Oryzias latipes: one gene and its partners. The protein of the gene in region 1 purifies or fractionates together with the protein of each later gene. This does not show direct contact. Links are inferred from orthologs where the notes say so. Each region holds a gene or a part of one and is shown on either strand. Other genes may lie near its edges.

Region 1 (6,366 bases):
GGGTTCTGCTAGTACAACTGGATCATTGACAGTTCACATGAGACAAACATAGGCACCCAGAATCTGTGGCTGAAATATGTCAGTGCTGTCATGCATGAGGCTGACAGAGGGCTTACCGCTCTCCACCGCCGGGGGCGGCTCAGAGGACACTAGCGGCTCTGTTAGAGCAGCGGCAAAGATGCAGAAAAATGTCCAAAAACATTAGAAAGAGAAGATGAAACAAGCTGAGGATGGAGCGCGACAGTGCTGTAATCTTTCTTTCTCAGGTCTTACCCTCCTGAACAACAGGCACAGCAGCTGCTGCCGCCGCCTCTTCTGGTGACCCTTCTACCACGGGCTCATCTGCTGTCGAAGCAATCCATGTTAAGAAATCAAGTTGACAACCAATTTTTCTGGTGTTAGAGACGACAAACCCCAGGATACATGCTTTATCCTCAGATAAAGCTGCAAATGTAAAACACTAAAACAAAACTCACAGCGTGCAGATTTTAAAGTTAGGTTCTCTAAATAGACACTTTCACACACAGTTAAAGACAATACAAGTCCCATGCCAACACTGATACACAAAAAAAAACCCAACATACATTAAACTAGTAGCCACAAATTCAACAATTTGACCAACTAAAAAACAGACAAATATATACAAAATGCCAAGGGCTGCAGTAAAACAATGATGGGTTAGTTTACAATGTTAAACAGAAAACCAACTCCAAAGGTCATGCGAGGTCAGAGTGTGTGCAGTAACCTACAAAAAATGTTGTTATGGGAAGATCAGAAAGCCTCATTAAAAACTGTTATTTTGTAGGGACAAACCTTTACCAGGGGTGCTGCTGCTTACAAGCCCCACATTGTCTTGTTGGTGAAAAAAAATATGTGTGGGGTTGTGAGCATTAAAAATCCACTCTGATAAAAATAGTGTTTTGGGTGTTTTTAATATGTTCTTGTGACATTTTTCTGATAATGGAGGACATATGTAAAGAAAATTAAGCTCAATCGGGAATCGGTGAATCGGGAACAGACGAAAAATCCAGATCCATGTGTGTCTTTGTTTTCCTCGTCTGAACTGGCATCTGGCTCAAGACGAGACGGCTGGATATCTCAGATATTACTCACCATTTTTGTTGTGCCTGTAATGTTAGGTTGGGGTTGTGAGGGGCTGTAAGCTAGTGGGAGAGCGTATAAACGGATGGGTGACGGAAGTGGGAGTGGGCTTGCTCTGCGCCAACTCGGAGGCAAATATTTAATGAGCTCAGCAGAAACTATGTCCTAGAAAACGACTGATTTTTACATGTTGGCTACAAAGGCATATTCATAGTTAAAAGAACATTGAAAATGCTTTTAAAACAGCTCAAAAGATGATCAGAGTGGGACTTTAATGCTCAGCATGTAGTGTATCTTTGAACTGGTAATACCAATAAGGGATAAGGGGTACACAGGAGTTCTGGCTGCGCATGCATGAGTTAGAATATACAGTCTGCAGACTACCTGGGGGGGTGGTCGTTTCAGGAGCCGTCTCCTCTTTGGGGGCTTCAACCTCTGCAGGTGAGCTTGGCTCTTCTATTGAAGGTGCTGCTGCAGGCTGGTCCTCAGGAACAGCTGACAAAAAAGAAAACAGAAAAGACATTTTGCCTCAAAAATCTTTAAAATCCAGTAAGGCCTTAGATATGTGCTGGAGTGATAATTTCCACTGGTCCACCCCTGATTCCAGTGCAATTGTGAAAGCTGTTTATCTGGATATCTCAAATGTTTATGTTTAGATAAAGAGGAAGCTGTTGTGCAGTCAGCTGATTGCTCCTGCACCACATAACCTTGAACTAAAGCCGTTTCATTAAAAAGAGACATTGAGGATAATGTGAAAGGATGTTTTTCCTTAGCATGGGTGAAACCAACCTTTACTACCAATTATTCCTACAACACACACAAAAAATCATCTTCCCCTCAGTGTCAGGTGAGCGACATATCCAGCACAACATGAGAGCAGACATGATTAGAGGTTAGAGGAGGAAAAGCTAAAACATCTCACCAGGAGGTTCTGACTGGATTTGTGCAGCTGTAGGTATTGTGGACGTTTTCTGTGGCCTGGTGGAAAGTTCTTCTATGCGCTGCTCGTATCGTTTTTGGTCCGACTTCATGGTTACAACTGCCTAAAAAAAAAAGTGCACACAAGAGAGGAAGGAGTCCCACTCTGTACAGTCATCTCTTTACGACTGCAGCTCATTCTAACGTCTCGAGGAGAACATCGGAGAGTCTGAAAACATTCCACAAATTATGGATGGCATAAAGACGCTCTTATTTCAGATCAGAATAGTATATTTTTTAAAACACAATTACTAAAACCTCTTGATGATAGTCTGGTTCACTCACATAAACGAGGCCTCCAACGCTGACTGCGCCAACCAGGAGAGCATACTTGAGGTTGTCTCCACCTCCTCCCACAGGCCCACTGGACATGTGGGCTGCAGGAACGCACACTGGTGTTCGGCCATTGTTCAAACCTAAACGACACATCAGAACTTTTCATTTGAAGCTAGGATAATAAACCCACTCTAAGTGTAGCCGCTCTTGCTGTTAATGTTTTTATTCTTTCCAAACCAAATTTGGAAACAGTTTTCTATGCTAATATAGATGTTGAAGTGTGCAATAAATGACATATTATGCAGAATATACAATTAGATTTAGATACCTGCTCCCTAAACCATAACAAAGTTGATGAAATGTGAGAGAAGCTGTTTGAAATTGAAAAATCTATTTATTACAAAAAAACAGGTCGTCAAATTCAGATGAAAAGCAGAATGTGAAAAGGTTTTGAAGGACTAAAGTGATGACAAATAAAAAGGAAGTTACTTCAGATGCTTTCACAATGGAAATGAAATAACTGGTTATAAAAAATGAAATGAAAATCATCCCTGAATAGAACACAACACCTCTGCACTAACCATGCAGTTCTTCAAAAACAAGCCTTGATCATTCTTAAAAATGAAGAAAGAAATCCTACACACTCTGAAAACGGTGTTTATGGCTTATTTAGTTTCCTAAAGGGGGATACAAACATTTAGTTTTACAGCCTCGTTCTGTACAAAACCCCACTTGACCCTGATGGGCATCTGAAATAAAGTAGAAGTCAGGTCTTAATTTATTTTAAAACAAAACCAAAACACAAAAATAATAACAACAAATGGATGCCTAAATTTTAAATTCCCCAGTATAGTTATTTTATATTGTAATTTGTACAGGCAGTTAGATAGACACCTTGAAGGGACCTTTTTTTATGAGAACTTTATTGACAAATTTGCACATACAGGACATCATACAATACATGACACCCCATATCTCATGCAGAGTTGTTTGAGCAAAACAACAACAGACCGTTAACCAGGACAATAAATAAATAAATAAATAAAATGTCCAAAGTTTTAAAATAAGACTATGCTTCAACCGTTAGACCTTTAGAAATAAATCTAAAATAATCAAACTGGTGGGATGAAGTCAGTTTAGGTGTTAATTTATTTCTCCATTTTAAGTATAGAAGTAAAAAAAAACAGTCAAATTAAAATGTACAACAAATTTGAGTGTTTAACATTGAATTGATCACACGTTTGATGGAGAAGATAGAGACTTCTGTTTGACATGACTATAGAACATGCATTTTAGAGCCAGAACAACTCTTCCTCCCTACTTCAATGAGACAATCTGGCGAACTATTACAAAAAAAATTAAAATAAAAAATCTGCAACACCTGTCAGGTGCAAAGAAGTTCACACAGAGAATGTCAAAACAGAGCATGCGCACAACCTGTCTTCTTCTAAGTCCAGCAAAAAATGTGCTGCAAGTGTGCAGGTTAGCCGAATGTCTCTGAGCAACGTCAACATTCAATGATTAGCTCGTTAGCTTGTTAATGAACAAAGGTCGGGGAAGTTCAACTGATTCCAAACTACTTTATGTTTTACCTGCAGACCCAAACCTAATATCCAACCCATAATAAAGATCGTTTACGAGTCCCAGCTAACTACTGAACAATACTGAACCTCGTTAACTTCACTGACCTGCTCTTCTCACGTTCTGCCGGCACAGTGTGGACGAGGATTTAGCCAGAGGTGCGAGCTTTCTCCATACTGTCCTACATTTCAGCATCGTGGCTCCGCTCTCCTGTTCCTGATCCCACTTCACGAGCCGGGCAGTCTGTCAGAAAGCCACTAACGGTTAATCCCACAGCCGGCGAGCGCGGACAACTAGCAGCTCTGCACTGCACACCAAGGCCAGAGACAGGTCAAACGTTTCAGAGGGGTGCTGGGTAATTGAAAAGACTATTTCAGAGTGAAGATAGACCGCGGCTGCGGGAAAGTTAAATGCGAAAAAATATTAAGTCGCCCTTAATAAAAGTGTGATTTGTTAAGCTCTTCTTACTGCGTGGTGCTCTTCCTATAATCGGTTTGTCATAATAGATTATGTTTCCCAAAGCTGGCGTTAGAAGCCTAACTTATAACATTTATTCAGCACAGAATAAAACCTGTCTTCCAATGATGTTATGAAACCTGTATCATCTCGCTTTGTAGACGCTCTCTGGAAACTCAGCTCTTCTTCTTTACATGAAAGCAACTATAAGGAAGCGTTGAAGCGACACTGAAAGTGATGCTGCCATCTACTGATTCATAACAGCAATTGCAGCCACGAGCGTCGTAACAGACCCGGGATACGTATAATTTCTTGAATCTATCCCTTTTACATATACTTTTTTATTTTCAATCAAACAAAGAATCATCATTAATCATCTTAAGTTTGATATCTGTATGTATAGATGTATATCTATATCATTTGTCTTCATTTTTTCCTTGTTTTTTAATTTCTTGAAATAAATCGGTTTCAATCCAATAGTTAAAATGAACGAGAGGACTGATAGTTCAGTTGTTATAGAGAAATACAACAAATATCAATTAATGTAAATCATTTAATACATAAAATTAATCAATATAAAAGTACATAATATTGTAAAGATAAATAAACATAAAAATATATAAATTGTCCGTTGTTCCTGGGTATTTCATAAATACATTATATGATTTTTTTACACAATAATTAAGTAATTCATCTTTGCTATGTGATTTATTGATACCTAAGGATTCTTAATTCTGTCTGATAAAAGTTAGGAACCGGATAATGATAAATCATGTAATGAAATGGTGACGGTAGAACAGGGGTGGGATTATATACATTCGCTTCCTTCCACTTCCTTTCAAGCAAGATTTAATTTTATGTCTAATTATCCTAAGTTTGATACGTCATTGTATAAATGTATATCTGATGATTGTAATGTTTTTTGTGTATTACTATTTGATTGCTTGAAATAAATCATTTCAAATTAAATTATAATCAAATACAAAAATGTTGCGATACATTGTCTTATCTAGACAATTAATATATTTATATTTATTCCCAATTAATATGACAAGATGCAGAAAAAAACATGTTCAAAATGGATTCAAAATGTGTTTTTTAATCTCAGTAGAATATTTTGTGTTGTTGTTTAATGTACTTTTGTTCTTTCTTGTTTTGTTCTTTTCTTCTTAAATAACCTAACTTGTATTATTGATTCTATCTCTGTTTGTAAAAGGTGTTTGCTTGTTAGGAGGCACCTGTTTTAAAAAAACATAAAGGGGAGAATTGTGGAGAACTCCTTCATCAGGATAAGACAATCATTTTATATGCTAATTAAGAGGTTCTTTTTCAATAAGCACAAAAATATATTATCAGCACGAATTTATAAAAAATGTTCATTATAATACCAGTGAATGGTGGTGCTGTTGGAACATCCATGACGTTTACGAGAAATGTCATAGACGTGGGAATTATTTTGTATTCTAGCTAAATGAAAATGTTGCTGCACAAATGAGAACAGGGCATAAAAAGATGAAGCAGATTTTCTTTGGCTGTCAATAAAAAATGCAAAAGTTGCCAAAGAGAATGACACATTTTAATCAAAAATGTGGAGATTTCCTCACAAATTAATAAAAATTGTGATAGAAAAGTAGGTTTGGTTAAAAAACTAAAAACAGCAGAGTATTTTTTCTGAGCTTGCATTCAGCAATATTTACTTCTGCAAATATGATTTGCAACACAAACTGTTTACATGTTGAGGACAATGAGTTTCTTTTTTTTACATCGTATTATAATTTTCTGCTTTTTTTTTCATTCTCACAATAAAATTGATGCAATAGTAAACAGTATCCAAAATGAGTCTTTTTAAGGTCACAACATCATTATAGCTGCTAAACATTGTTATAAGTGAGAATGGAGGGAAAATTTACTAAATACACTAATCCTATTAAGGTTGGAAAAATGGTAAAAACAGTGAATGGTGCTACTTATAAA
Region 2 (6,600 bases), on another chromosome or scaffold:
GAAGAGGAAATCTGTTTACTACCATTTCTAAAGGTTCCAGTCACCTCCATGTGAATCATCTAATGAAGGGATTTCCTGTATAGTTTCTGGACTCTTGCCAACTTTTCATTTCTCTTCAAAGTCAAAAAAAGAACCAGTTTGTAAATTTAAAGCTGTATTTTTTCATATAAAGACTTAACAGTATTAAACATGCGCTGCTATATATACTTGTATGATGTGTAAAAAAAGATTGATGTGACCGTTCCAGTGTTTATGTGTAAACTATTGTCACATTTCTATTAAAGCATTAAATGCTATTAGAAGCTCTTTGTAGTCGGGCAGTTTAGGGTTTGATTCATTTATTAAATCCATACAGAGGTAACATGGATTACTCAAACTTCATAAATGGTTAGAGTAGAAAAAAAAAATAAAAAAATAAAACCTGGACTGAAGTAAATGCAGTACACAAACTGTTCAACTCAGGATAGATGACAAGTTAGTGCCAACATTGGGGAAAAAAACAAAACTTGATAGCAGTTAAACATGACGCTTAGCTGCAATTCTTTCTTTGGGTGTGTTATGAGGTGAAGACTTTATCAGTTATGCGTTTTATTTTCTGCTCTGGTCAGTCTGACTTCTACTCCTATCTCAGTGCTTTCAGCTTTTCCTCCAGGGTTGCAACGTTGGCACCAGAGAACTCATCCACCTGGAAAAATAAAAACATAAAAAAATGACAGAAGTTGAAAAGGTGAGATCTAATATTTGCAAACAAAAACTAGCCGTTTCTGCTACTGCAGGATGGACATTAGGGCTTCCAGGCTGGTTTAATTGTTTAAGTCAAGCTTACACAGGGCTTAAACAGGGATCACTTAAACCAGGGCACACATGGCTCTCTGGTTAAAGAAAGACAAAGAGGTTTTCCTTTTAAATAGCAAAAAAGACAAAGTAAACTTAAACTTCATTCAACTCATTCCACAACATTTGACAGACGGGACGCATCACAAGTCAAACTAAAACATTTTGGCAGATTTTTGGGCCCCATGTACCAAAGGAAATCAATTTGAGGGCAGTAAGTACACTCAATTTATAAATAGTATTTTACAAATACAAGGATTTTAAGATAACCTTATGGTTTGAAAAATACAGTAAGACTCTCTTAATGATCCCATGTGACACAGGGTCTCTTTTTTTAAAGGAAGTCATCAGAACCTCTGTAAAAAGTTATAAACTTTTCAACTACTGCACTCAGTTACTTACCTTTTTGCCCCCCTTGTAGAAGTGGAATGTAGGCATGCATTTAATTTCACAGAAACTGCTGATATCCTGAAAGAGAAAAAGCAACAGTTTTTTTTTATGAATCAAAATTAAAAAAAATAAAAATACAATTATTAAGTAATTATTGTTGCTGGCCCCCAATTGCAACCTAACGCTTTCATAAAGTAGAGAGACTAAAAACAAAAGCTGGTTTTGCCCATTAAAACAAAGCTAGTTTGTACTGGCCAAGGAGGAGAACGTGCACACTCACATCAGCCTCGTCCACATCCACCTTCAGGAAAACCACATTCTTGTTGTCATCGCTTTCCGACATTTGCTGCAAGACAACAAGTACATACAACAACAGTACATTAGACTCAACTCTACAGAAACAGAGCACTTTTACTGAAAAATCATACTGGGTGTGTGTTGGACCATTTCCTGTGAACAAGCACTTCCTCTCCTTGAAGTGGGGAGGTAAACCTTATAGGGTTGCCATAGTAACAATGCATCTACATTTAAACACCGTTTTCAATTGGTCCCCCTGTTTCTATTCGCTGGTTGGGACGGTTGACAGAGAGGGGTTGTAACTTCCGAGCTCTCCGACTAGCTTAAAGCCCATCAAACCCCCAACCTAACACTACAGGTGAAACAAAAATGGTGAGCAATATCGGAGCTATCAGGCATACAGTTTTGAGCCGGATGACAGCTCAGACGAGGAAAACAAAGACGTACATGGATCCATTTGTCTGCAAGTAGAGGCATCAGTATGGAGTGGAGCAGGGAGCTTGTGGCCTGCAGATTGTAGCTTCTACATTACAACTACAAGCTCTGTCAAAACTGTCCTTTCTTGCCTGTGACTGATTCACAATAAGAAAAAGAAGTACTCAGAAATGCATTTTTAAGCTTAAATTTCTTTATACATGTTCTCCTTTATCAGAAAATGGGCACAAAAACATGTTAAAAACATTTTCATCGGATCAAGTCTTTAAGCTCCAGTTATCTACCTTGTACAAGGGGGCAATCTGTTTGCAGGGCCCACACCATGATGCAGTAAAGTCCACAACCACCAGCTTGTCTCCAGCGTCTTCCAGAATTTTCTTGAATTCTGCCTACAAAAAAAGCATGTTTCCATCATTTATTTTAAATAAGCATAAAGGTAAAGAATTCGTTTAAATAAATTACTTCATTTTGTCAGCAGGCTTTCCCATAGTGTAACGATAAGTGGTTATCAAAGGTTTGGCTAATGATTAGCAGAACAGCCCCAGATCAAAAGCAGTCGCTGTATCTGAATTCCCACCCTAACCCCCAACTTCTAAAAAAAACTATAGAGTGCACCGACTTAAAAGCAATTTGGACACCATGCCCACTACTTTTTTTTTTAATTTACGGCGGATATGACGTCATCGATTTCACGAAGTTAAAATCTAATTGATAGGAGCATTTTGCGAGGATCATTTATCAGTCTTCTGAAGATAAAAACACTTGACAGGTTGTTCAGAAAGTACATTTAAATACATTTTTAAGCAAAAATAGATTTGATGCCATGCATTGTGATCTATATTCACAGATCTAGTGAGCATTGATGCACACTGTTTTTTTGCGGAGATTTCTGGGAAATTTGCAGGGCACTCGATTTTGGAATTGTAGAATCGGACAGCACTACAAAATGGCGAACGCACAGTGCACTTTGTAGTGATTAGTGAAGGAATTCGGACGCAACCAGTGACACCCAGAAGTCTGAATGATTTCAGCAGTTTTGACATCCAGGCATGTGTACACACGGACAGAGGCGGCCCGAGGCCTAGCGGAATGGTCCAAGTGTCGCAAATAGGAGTTGACTTTTACTCAAACTAGTACTTTATTGTAGCTTTCTGCTCATCTGAGCCATGATAGGAACGTTTTTTTGGTGTATTACTAAAAGATTTTTTATCTAGTTAACGGTAAAACCTTTCCGAAAACTTGTAACCCTGGCAACGTGTTCGCGCGGCAACAAGATAGCAAAGTCCGCCCTCGTGCATCATGGGTAGAAAATGGAAAAAAAGAAAAAACAACTAAACATTAGCAATACAGCCTCCAGAGTTATTCTGTCGGAGTAATTTATTCCATCAACGACAATAAACATGCTAACTCTAAGCGAATAAATGCTTTAACAGGGTTTTTTTTTCTTGCAAAAAAGGTAAGTAGATAGAAGCTTGCTGAGAAAATAACCGCGCGGCTACCTAACGTCAACTGTGCTGTCCTGAATGTATGTAGTAGTACAGCGAAATAAATAAAGACATGATTAATTGTATTTATAGAACTACTTACAAGATCAGCCACTTCACGGACCATGTTTGCTGTTTTGAAAAGGCAAACTCTCGCTGAATCTAAAAGACAGCGGCTTCGCAAAGACCACACTTTCAGTCAAAGAGGATGACCTGCCCTATTTATAACGGCGTCAGACTAACACGTCGCAGCGGAAGAGCTGATGGGTTGACTAACAAAATAAAAGCCAGTCTTTTATGTTTAAGCGAATCATTTATATTAAAAGAACGCCGTGTGTATACGTCATTGCCACTATGATTGTGCATGAAATGTGTTGTAACCGTACTTGATTTCATGTTGTATCAGCAGTTGTGTTATTACTGGTAAAGCTTCACGAAAAATACTTTTATTTTGAAAGTTATAAACAGAATGGTTTCCTTTCCTGGATTCTTGCAAATATTTTAGCTCTTTACTGAGAATAAAAACTACAGAATCGGTGATGTCAGGCTATATATATCTGAGGCCCGTTAGTGCTTCGTTGTTGTTTCGTTGCGGCTTAAAATAACTTGCAAAACTAATCTACTAACAATAACGCGTCCTTTTAGAGAATTATATCGATAGTAAGTTGAAATACTTTTTTTGTTTTTAATTCCGTCAACGCTTGATCAGACAGTCGAATCACAATGACTTGGCAAATTTCTGTACTACCGTAAACATGGTCACTGCAGACCATATTTCCTTGTACAAACTCTGGTCAACGCCCATGAGGCCACACCCCTGCACTAGTCTTATTACGTAATAGCTTAAAAAGACTTTATTTGTTTATTCTTTTACAACTAAAGTAAGGGGTAAACAATAAACAGAAAAGTCCATACTATAACAAAAAATTGCAATATTTAGACAAATTATTGCAGTTTGATCATGGTTGGAATAAGTTTAGGGAAGTGATTTAATCAGAAGATTAATTCTAAAAGATGGTACACAAAGACTTGTTTTTCCATTTACATATTTGAATAAAGAATTTGAGTATTTAGACTACATATGTGAATGTTCCAACAGGTTCTATCGTAAAAATAAGGAAACTTCATTTGAAGCCTAAGAATTGCCTAATTTAGACCTTAAAACATTTTTTAAAAGTATCTTTGCATAATTCCATTCTTTAAAATATGATGCAAGTTCAAATCAGTTAGGCAATGCATGCAATACCAGCATACATCAATAAAGACCAAAAACAACCTTTATTATAGAATAAACAACAATATCTGGTTACAGTTTTATCTATGTCGCTGTAAAACAAGCAAATGTCACTTTTGGATTTTTTTCCCCGTTCAGGTAGAAGCCGTGTCACAGCTGTAAGAAAACAATCTTTTTATTTACGTTTGTCCGGGAAAAAAAGAGAAAAATACTAAACAATTTAAATAAAACTACATTCTATTGAGAAATACAGACATATCTCACACATATGTATTTTAAAAATAAAATTAATTCACTAAACACTGAAAAGACAATACATATCTTGTAGTTATTTTTCAGTGCAGTATATGTAAAATCCTCCTTCATTAATTGTGTAAAGACCTTTATTGGTCATCCATCAGACAGCAACAACGGCTTTGCCAGTGTTGTCTCCTTTCAGCATCCCCTTAAAAGCAGCTGGCATGTTTTCAAAGCCTTTGGTGACGTGCTCCCGACATTGCAGTTTTCCCTGCAGAGGCGTCATGTGTGTATACAATTAATAGCAGTGACACAGAAATCTTTTCATTCCTGATTGATGCTCCACATTACCTGTTTGAACCACGCCATCAGCCTCTTGAGGCTTTCAGGATGCTTGTGTGTCCACCATCTTCAGTTGGTACAGCCCTAACAAAACACAAATACAATAGTCAGAAGAAGTACAGTCTCTGGCTCATCTGCAATGCAATAGGGCTCTCTAGTGGGATCGAAGGTTATTGCAAAATAAGTACACAGTTTATAACATTTCTGAAACAGGAAGAGTACATAAAATGCTGAATCAGAGTTTTTTTTTTTTTTTTTAAAGAACTTTATCGAACACAAACCAAAAACATCCCAAAATATGGTGGATACTAGTAGAAAGAATATAGCAATTGAAAAGGAAGCACAAACAAAATAAAATAGAGTACTTATCAATATGCATACATATACGTGCAAATACACAAGACACAAGAAAACAACAATTTCAGAGTTTAATAGTGACACCAAATGCTGGTTGGTACAACAATGACTAAATAAACCGTCTCAGATAGTATCGCTCAGAATATCATAAACTGTTATGCTTTTGGTAAATTGATTAATCTTAGGGGTTTTAAGTATAAATTGACTTCTGCATTAAAGAAGGTAATGTTGGGGTGACATTTCTGTAATTGTTTTTGTGTATAAAAAACTTGACTATTCATAAAATGGTATTGATACATAAATAAATACATTTTTGTGTAGTGATATGCCGAAAATTATGACTTCTTTTTAAAAAAAGGTTCACAATGAATGGGAATTTATTTTTCAACTATTTGTAAACATCTAACCAAAAAATGTGTACAATGCTACACAGGAAAAATATGTGGTCGGTGTCTTCAACAGCAGTTTGGCAGAAGGAACAGCTGTTGTCATCAATGTTGAAACGTAATCTAAGTAATTCTTTGGAGGGATGAATATTATTCATAATTTTGAAGTGTGTTTCTTTAACTTTTGGGAGAATAGGAAGTTTCATGAATTTGGTTCTGAATTTAGAAACAACATTTTGTTCACATTTCTGTAATATATTATTTTTGTTCTATCGTCCAGGAAATAATCTTTCAATTAACCAATTTCTGATAAAAGAGTTATTACATTTTTTTCCATAAGAGGGCATGCTTCAGTTGATAATGTGGCTAATTGTGGTTTTATCATTACATGTGTCATTGTGTTCCTTGTTAGAAATACTAATTCTCGAGAAAGAGCATTACGTACTTTTAAGAATCCTGAGATAGGAGGATTGAAGTTATGTCTTAAACACAATTGCTCATAATCTAAAAAATTGCCCTTCGTGTATATCAGATCAGTCACCGACCAAACACTTTGCCCAAACCATTCAGCACAAAACAAGGACTTGTTTCTATGGAGCATGTA
Region 3 (6,353 bases), on another chromosome or scaffold:
TTTTAAACCTTTTGGTTCGCTTAAAACGATAAAATACAAAAAACAATCCTAGCCCGTTCAAACAAGGTTGGACAGATTATGTTGGCCTTCAATTGCAATCTTGGGTAAATCTTAAACGTACATTTTTAATCAATGTACAGATTTAATCAAAGATTTGGCAAGCTTACTCATTGCAGACTTGCCTTAGTGTGGCACAAAGATCACTATCAGCCACAGCGTAAATGAAGGAAGTGTGGTTAGACCCCAGCCCTACTTTCATGCCAGAGGTGCTTTTTTATCTGCAATTTCACAACAAGTGAAAAAAATGTGTTTTTTGGCAACATCTTCCAAGTCTACAATGCAATAGTATGTTGCTCAGGTTTGTGCATCACAAAGATCGAGAGGGAAAAGACTGAAACTTGACCCCTGTCGCTTGCTTCTATGCAGCAGGAAAAACAGATTAGCTGAGTCAGAATGTGTGGCTCGCTGCTGCTGAAGCTGCTGTTGTGCCCTTCTACACATCATCCCCACACTCCCTGCATACAATCTGAGCTCCAACTGCCATCAGCACTTCTGCCCCTGCAGTCTGCACACATGTTACTGTCCAAACTGCACACACAAAAAAAAAAACCTGCAACCGAACAGAAAGGCTTCAGCCACGAACTTCATGAAGCCGGAGGGAGGTAAAGATGGGCTTCCAAAGGGCTTTGCAGCAAATTAGCAATTATCCACCATGCCCTCATTTACATGCTCTGCCAATCGAACCTGTCATCATGGAGATAAGTTTGGATTTTTCTTGAGCTGTAATGAAGACACAGCAGCCCAGTCGGATACGATCACACCTCCAGGGCCAACACAACCACATGCTTTATCTTTGTATTTTATTGATCCAAAAACACAGAAGCAGGAAATGGAAAAAGTCCCTTTAAGGTGAGCTCAAAGGAAGCTGCTTCTCTCACTTAAGGAGCCAAAAGAAAAGAAAGTTAGCAGCAGTGTGAAAAGGGCAACTGCCACTTCAGATAATAACAGTGGGGCAAATGGCATCACAGCACTGATCTCCAAGTGGAGGAGATCAGAGGTGAGACTCAGCACAGTCACGCATAGAAAGAAAAATACTCTGCTAAGAGGAGCCATGTAATGGGGAAAAATATTCTGTATTATTTCTAACATTTTAGACAGAAAATAAGATAAAAATTCAACTCTAGTTTTAAAATTACGCATCAATTGCGTTTTTTTCAAATTAAGGCTAAAGTAGAGTTTAAAAATGACTTGTAGTCTAAATAAAGCTCTTAAAAGTTTCCCTTCCCTGGCCTGAGAAGGGAGAATTTTCCCTTATTCATCCGCGTAGAGTTCATCATCTGAACCAAATTAAGCAGCCAAAGAAATGATCTCTTACTGTGAAATTTTGGACTCCCTTTGTGCTCAGTCGGAGGAAGGTCCGCAAACTGCACCCGGTGCCCCGACATGTCCGCTCTTCCCCCCGCAGGTCAAAGCCTCTTCAAGTATGCGAGAACTTTTTGAGGATGCGTTCAGGTGCCGCTGCGTTTTGCGCGTGGGATCCCCGCTCAGATGCGTAACGGCGCGCACCCGTGGATTTATATTTTTATAAAGAAAGGCTGTCCGCGCGCGCCGATGCGCGTGCCAGCTGTGCGCTCGGTGACGGTCCGCTGTACCTGCACGCCTTCTTCTCCCTGCTCTGAACGGGTCTGAATCGAGCTGGGGAAGAGGGGGCGTCCACTATTCCTTTCCCGCATCAACAAACATGAAAACTTTTCTGCCCCGCATTAGTGCCCGCAGAGTGACGTCATCGCTGTTCAGAGATGAAGAGAAAACGTATCTTTTATGATTGTATTTATTTATTTATACCGTTCTATTGGCACTTGGTTCACTTGCACGTGCCTTTTGGCGCACTTTTATTGTTTTATTACATATTGTTTTACCTGTAAAATGTTCTCAAACTCTTTAATTATTTTTGGTTTAACATGTTGGTTGCATTTAGTTAGTTCTCTGTTTTTTTTTCTTAAACTAAATTGTATTTGTATTGAGGTTCTTTTTATTTTTAGACTGGTAATCTTTTGTGCGCGTGTTGTCCTTTATTTAGTTCTTTGAGCTGCACATTTGATTAGTTTCAGTATTTTTGCAAGAGGAAAAAGTGTTTATCATCTATTTGGCTTCTTTCAACGCCAAGTAACGATGTCTAGCATTTTTCTAATCCCTATAGTTTGAAGTCCTTTAATTTCCGTCCTAATTTGTATCAAATAAAAAACATCTGTGTGGTGAGATGTGAGGAGCCTACACTGCCATCTAGTGGATGGAATGGGAACACGGTGAGGTTGTCATCTGCCACAGGGAAACAAAACACATTTTGAATGAATGGTACATTACTTTAATGCAACAAAGAATCTAGGAAAACATGGATAAACAGGGTGACAGTGTAACTGAATACTCTGCAGAAAATTTTGTCTTTAAAACTTTTTTTCCCATTTTAAAGACCTACTCTGATTAAAACAGTTTTTTTAACATGTTCTTTTGCCCTTTTTTGATGATGGGAGCACATTTGTAAAGAAAAACTTAGTTAAAATGGGTATTTCTGAGTATTTCTTTATTCTTTAGAATAAATTTTATTCTTTATTGTTGTAAATCAGGAACACACAAAGAATTCTGTTATAAAGAGAGCGTGTTTGTGATGTAGAAAATATGTTGTCCAATCTGATGGATTCACTTGCAGATTAGGAGATCCACGTATGTCTTCATTTTCTTCATCTGAGCAGGCATATGGCTCAAACTGTAAGGCCGGATAGCTCCAGTATTGCTCGCCATTTTTGTTGCATCGGTAAATAATAGGTTGGGACTGTAAGCTATTGTGAGAGCGTGTAAACAAAGGGATGATGGGAAATGCTGCCACACAACTCAGAGGCAGATTTCTATTGAACTCCTGCCGCTCTGAAGAAACTATGTTACACAAGTTGAGAAAAGACACCAGCTAATCAAGCTAGAACATAACTTTTAACCTTTCAAAGCATCAGAGTGCAGCGTGCATCTCTTATCTCTTCCCACCATGCTGCACTTTAAAGGGAGGGTTTGTATAAGATTAGTGTTGTGCGACTAAAAAGACATGATCATCGATGCTGAATGACAGTTTTATGGAAACAATCAAATAAAACTGTTAAAACAATCTTATAAAATAAAAACATGTTTTTTTCCCCAACAAACTTCATTTAAAATAAAAAGAAAACAATCCAAACATTTGGAATAAATGACAAGAAAGCAGCACAAAATACAACTCTCCCAAACGAGTCTGACAGGACTTTTGTGCAAAAGAGAGCAGCTATAATACAGCTATGTGCCACTTGGAAAAAGACAAACACAAAGAAATGGAAAAATAGTTGACAAGTGCTAATAAAGATGGTCTGCGATGTGCACTGCACTTTTTTTCTGACAAACTTAGAAAACTTACAAAAGAATAATAATTTAAAGCAACCAAGCAGAGTCCACAGCATCCATCAGGAACAGACTGTGGCCTCACACGCAGCCATTCTGCTCTATGTACATCTTCGATAGTGAGGCCGCCATGGACTTTGCCAGCTCCTCGTCTCGTTTCCGCTGCATCTGTGAGCGCCGGCACCAGTCTTCGTACTCTGGGTTGGGAAGACATCGGCCCAGGACCACATCGTAGTGGCCGTTGCTGAGCCAGCTTAACCAGATGGCTGGTTTGGAGGCGTCCTCCTCGCCGAGGTAGTGCACCATGGTGGAGACGGTGGGACTCTCTGAGCTGCCGCCCGTCGTGAGGTGGATGTTGACGTTCAGCATCTGGCTCATGGCGAGGAGCTCCGGGTAGCCGGCCCAGGCTCCGTCCTGCGCCGCATTGATCAGGAACTCTCCCACGTCGCCTTCGATGATGGGGTTGAACTCGTCCAGGTGGTCGGCGATGTGGTGCACCGTCTGCTCCCGCAGCTCGCCGTGCCTGGTCTGGTCCCCGTACGTGGCTTTGCACACAGCTCTGTACAGGCAGTTGCCATCTGGAATGATGTGGTACCTGTATTGGTTCCTCTCCTGGAGGTACTTGTTCTGCTTCTCCACCTCAGCCAGGTACCGGCTGACTTTGTGGTCTCTCTGCTGGGACCCCTGCGGAGGCGACTCCTGCAGGACACTGAGCTTCAGAGTCTGGTTCTGCCCTGATGGTGGTGTACTTTCCATACTGTTCATGTCAAATAGATCCTCTGTTCTGAAGTTCTTCGTCATGGCAACCATTGAGGGGGCCAGTTCCTCTTCATGGAATGACGCCCATCCGTTGCTCCTATAAGGTCCAGAATCCTCCTCCTTACATTCCACTGTGGATTGAGTGGTTTTCTTCCTCTTAAAAGCAGATCCTCCTGGCAGTTCTGTGCAGCCTGCCTCCTCAGTCTGATGGTTTGTCCAGTCCACCATGGTCTCCTGGTCGGGGTCACTGCAGGGCTTGTGGGGGCGGCCTGAGGGGGGTTTGGGCTGTCGGATGATGTGAATGGGAACCGGCCTTTGCACTCCGTCGGGTCGGCGGATTAATATCTCGGCGGTGGAGGTGAAGTAAAGCGGCCTCCTGGTAGAAGCAGCCTCGTAGCACGAAAAGGCGGGCATGTTTCCAGAAGTCTCCGCGGGCGGAGCGGCGTGAGTTGACGAAGTTGTGTCAAGTTGGGCAAAGTCGACCTCGGAGGAAGTTCGCGGCGTCCCGTTCAGGCGCTCGGGGGCTGCAGACAGAGTTATTGTAACTTTCCGCGACGACTTCGGGTAGTGTGTGAGCGCGCTGTTGTACAGCTGCATTTTCCAACGGTCCTTTATACTGAACACCGCCGCCGGGGCAGTTACGAAAAGATGACAACGAGCGCTAAAAATACCCCCGGAGTCATCAACAGCGGGAAACTCGCGGGGAACGTTTCCATGGCCCCGAGTCCTGTTATCGGGGACACGCAACGACGACGACAAGGTCCACTTTAGCTGTGTGGCGTCATCTGCTGTTGGGGTGCCTCCCTAATTTTAGGCTTCACTGTTTGTAACCAAACCCCTTCAGTGTAAAAGCCCGTCAAATCCCGGAGGACAAAATACCAGTTCCGTTTGGGAAACTTCAAAATAAAACCCCTCATCGTCGTTTAATGTTTTTTGGATGTTTTAATTTTATTTGTCTCAGATTATAATCACAAATTATTAATTTGCATTTACTTTTATTATTATTTTTGTAATATATTATGTAGATTGTTTTTATAGCTGTTATTAATTTCATGCTATTTTTGTGAATGATTTTAAACAAATCTTAAGTTAAAGAAATTATAAAAATGTTACAAGAGTTTTCGGGAATAAAAAAAAAATCATTTCTTAACCATCCTATATTGTCCAGACTAACTCGTGTTGTTGAAAATGTTATTAACTGTGTAAGTGGAGAAAAATAAATAACTAAAGACTTGAAAAAAGTTAAGTTCGTATATTTTTTAACCTTCAGATTCTAACATTCCAACTTAACTACTAACCTAGTACTTATAACGTTTTCAATTAAACCCAAAGTTATGGTATATTTGGCTACCTAACACTTAACATCAAAAATCATTTTCATGATTAAAAATCTATAGCTAAAATTCACAATAATGGTGTTTTATAGGTTTGCAAAGTTTTATATGACAAAATAAAAATCTATTTTTAACATTTTAAATAAAACATTAATAAGGGAAAATTGTAATCCCGCAGAACCTCAAGTTAATTTGAAAATGGGTTACAGAAAAAAAGAAAACTATTTTTAAATTAAAAAGCCTTGTTTGTATCTGTCTTTTTGTATCTATCTTTTTTGAGACAAGTTTTACATTTTTTTTGTCATTTGTTTTTATTTTAATTCATGAATTTTTATTATTGATGCCTTATGAATGGAAAAACACAACCTTTTGATACATTAAAAGAAGCAAAATAAAAGTATTTTTTCTTATATCAATAAAAATGTCAATTTTTATCCAAACAAACCTTAAAATACCATGTAAAAGCATAATTTGTTTGTGAGCTGAAAGTATTTGGTGCATGTGAATATGTCCATTGGACATTATTGGCAGACATGTCAATGCTTAGATATGCTCCTGAAGCTTTTTTTAAACACTTACACTGTCAGAGCTTGTGGATTGTGGAACTCAATCTGCGTGCTTGGAATAGACATCCGACTGGCGTCAGTTAAACCCACAGCTGAAAAGTAATCCAATCTTTTCAGGAAGAACATTCTGGAAACATTGGTTACACAACATGGAGAAATTAATTAAATTATTCAACAATATCTGTTGTCATTGAGGGAAAAAAAAGAGAACAAAAATATTAAAATACTGAGCTTATGGTGCCCATTATTTTACCATTAACCCAAAAAAAATATT

Evidence for each region.
Region 2: the proteins of aifm1 (region 1) and txn purify together in Homo sapiens (affinity purification with mass spectrometry; 3 studies listed by BioGRID and IntAct, with this or other methods). This does not show direct contact. The link is inferred for Oryzias latipes from reciprocal best matches to the Homo sapiens genes AIFM1 and TXN.
Region 3: the proteins of aifm1 (region 1) and otud1 purify together in Homo sapiens (affinity purification with mass spectrometry; 3 studies listed by BioGRID, with this or other methods). This does not show direct contact. The link is inferred for Oryzias latipes from reciprocal best matches to the Homo sapiens genes AIFM1 and OTUD1.

The regions. Positions count from the first base shown.
Region 1 is NC_019872.2:16,888,923-16,895,288, reverse strand, and holds the start of aifm1 (apoptosis-inducing factor 1, mitochondrial), read right to left. Parts: upstream 4,338-6,366; 5' UTR 4,132-4,337; coding exon 4,044-4,131; intron 2,496-4,043; coding exon 2,365-2,495; intron 2,145-2,364; coding exon 2,024-2,144; intron 1,597-2,023; coding exon 1,486-1,596; intron 346-1,485; coding exon 274-345; intron 159-273; coding exon 117-158; intron 18-116; coding exon 1-17. UniProt on the Homo sapiens protein: Functions both as NADH oxidoreductase and as regulator of apoptosis.
Region 2 is NC_019876.2:18,249,363-18,255,962, forward strand, and holds txn (thioredoxin), read right to left. Parts: upstream 3,765-6,600; 5' UTR 3,568-3,764; coding exon 3,544-3,567; intron 2,346-3,543; coding exon 2,241-2,345; intron 1,571-2,240; coding exon 1,505-1,570; intron 1,303-1,504; coding exon 1,237-1,302; intron 686-1,236; coding exon 623-685; 3' UTR 322-622; downstream 1-321. Other genes in the region: svep1 (sushi, von Willebrand factor type A, EGF and pentraxin domain-containing protein 1), read left to right, coding at 1-31. UniProt on the Homo sapiens protein: Participates in various redox reactions through the reversible oxidation of its active center dithiol to a disulfide and catalyzes dithiol-disulfide exchange reactions.
Region 3 is NC_019878.2:19,215,297-19,221,649, forward strand, and holds otud1 (OTU domain-containing protein 1), read right to left. Parts: upstream 5,068-6,353; 5' UTR 4,777-5,067; coding exon 3,502-4,776; 3' UTR 2,351-3,501; downstream 1-2,350. UniProt on the Homo sapiens protein: Deubiquitinating enzyme that specifically hydrolyzes 'Lys-63'-linked polyubiquitin to monoubiquitin.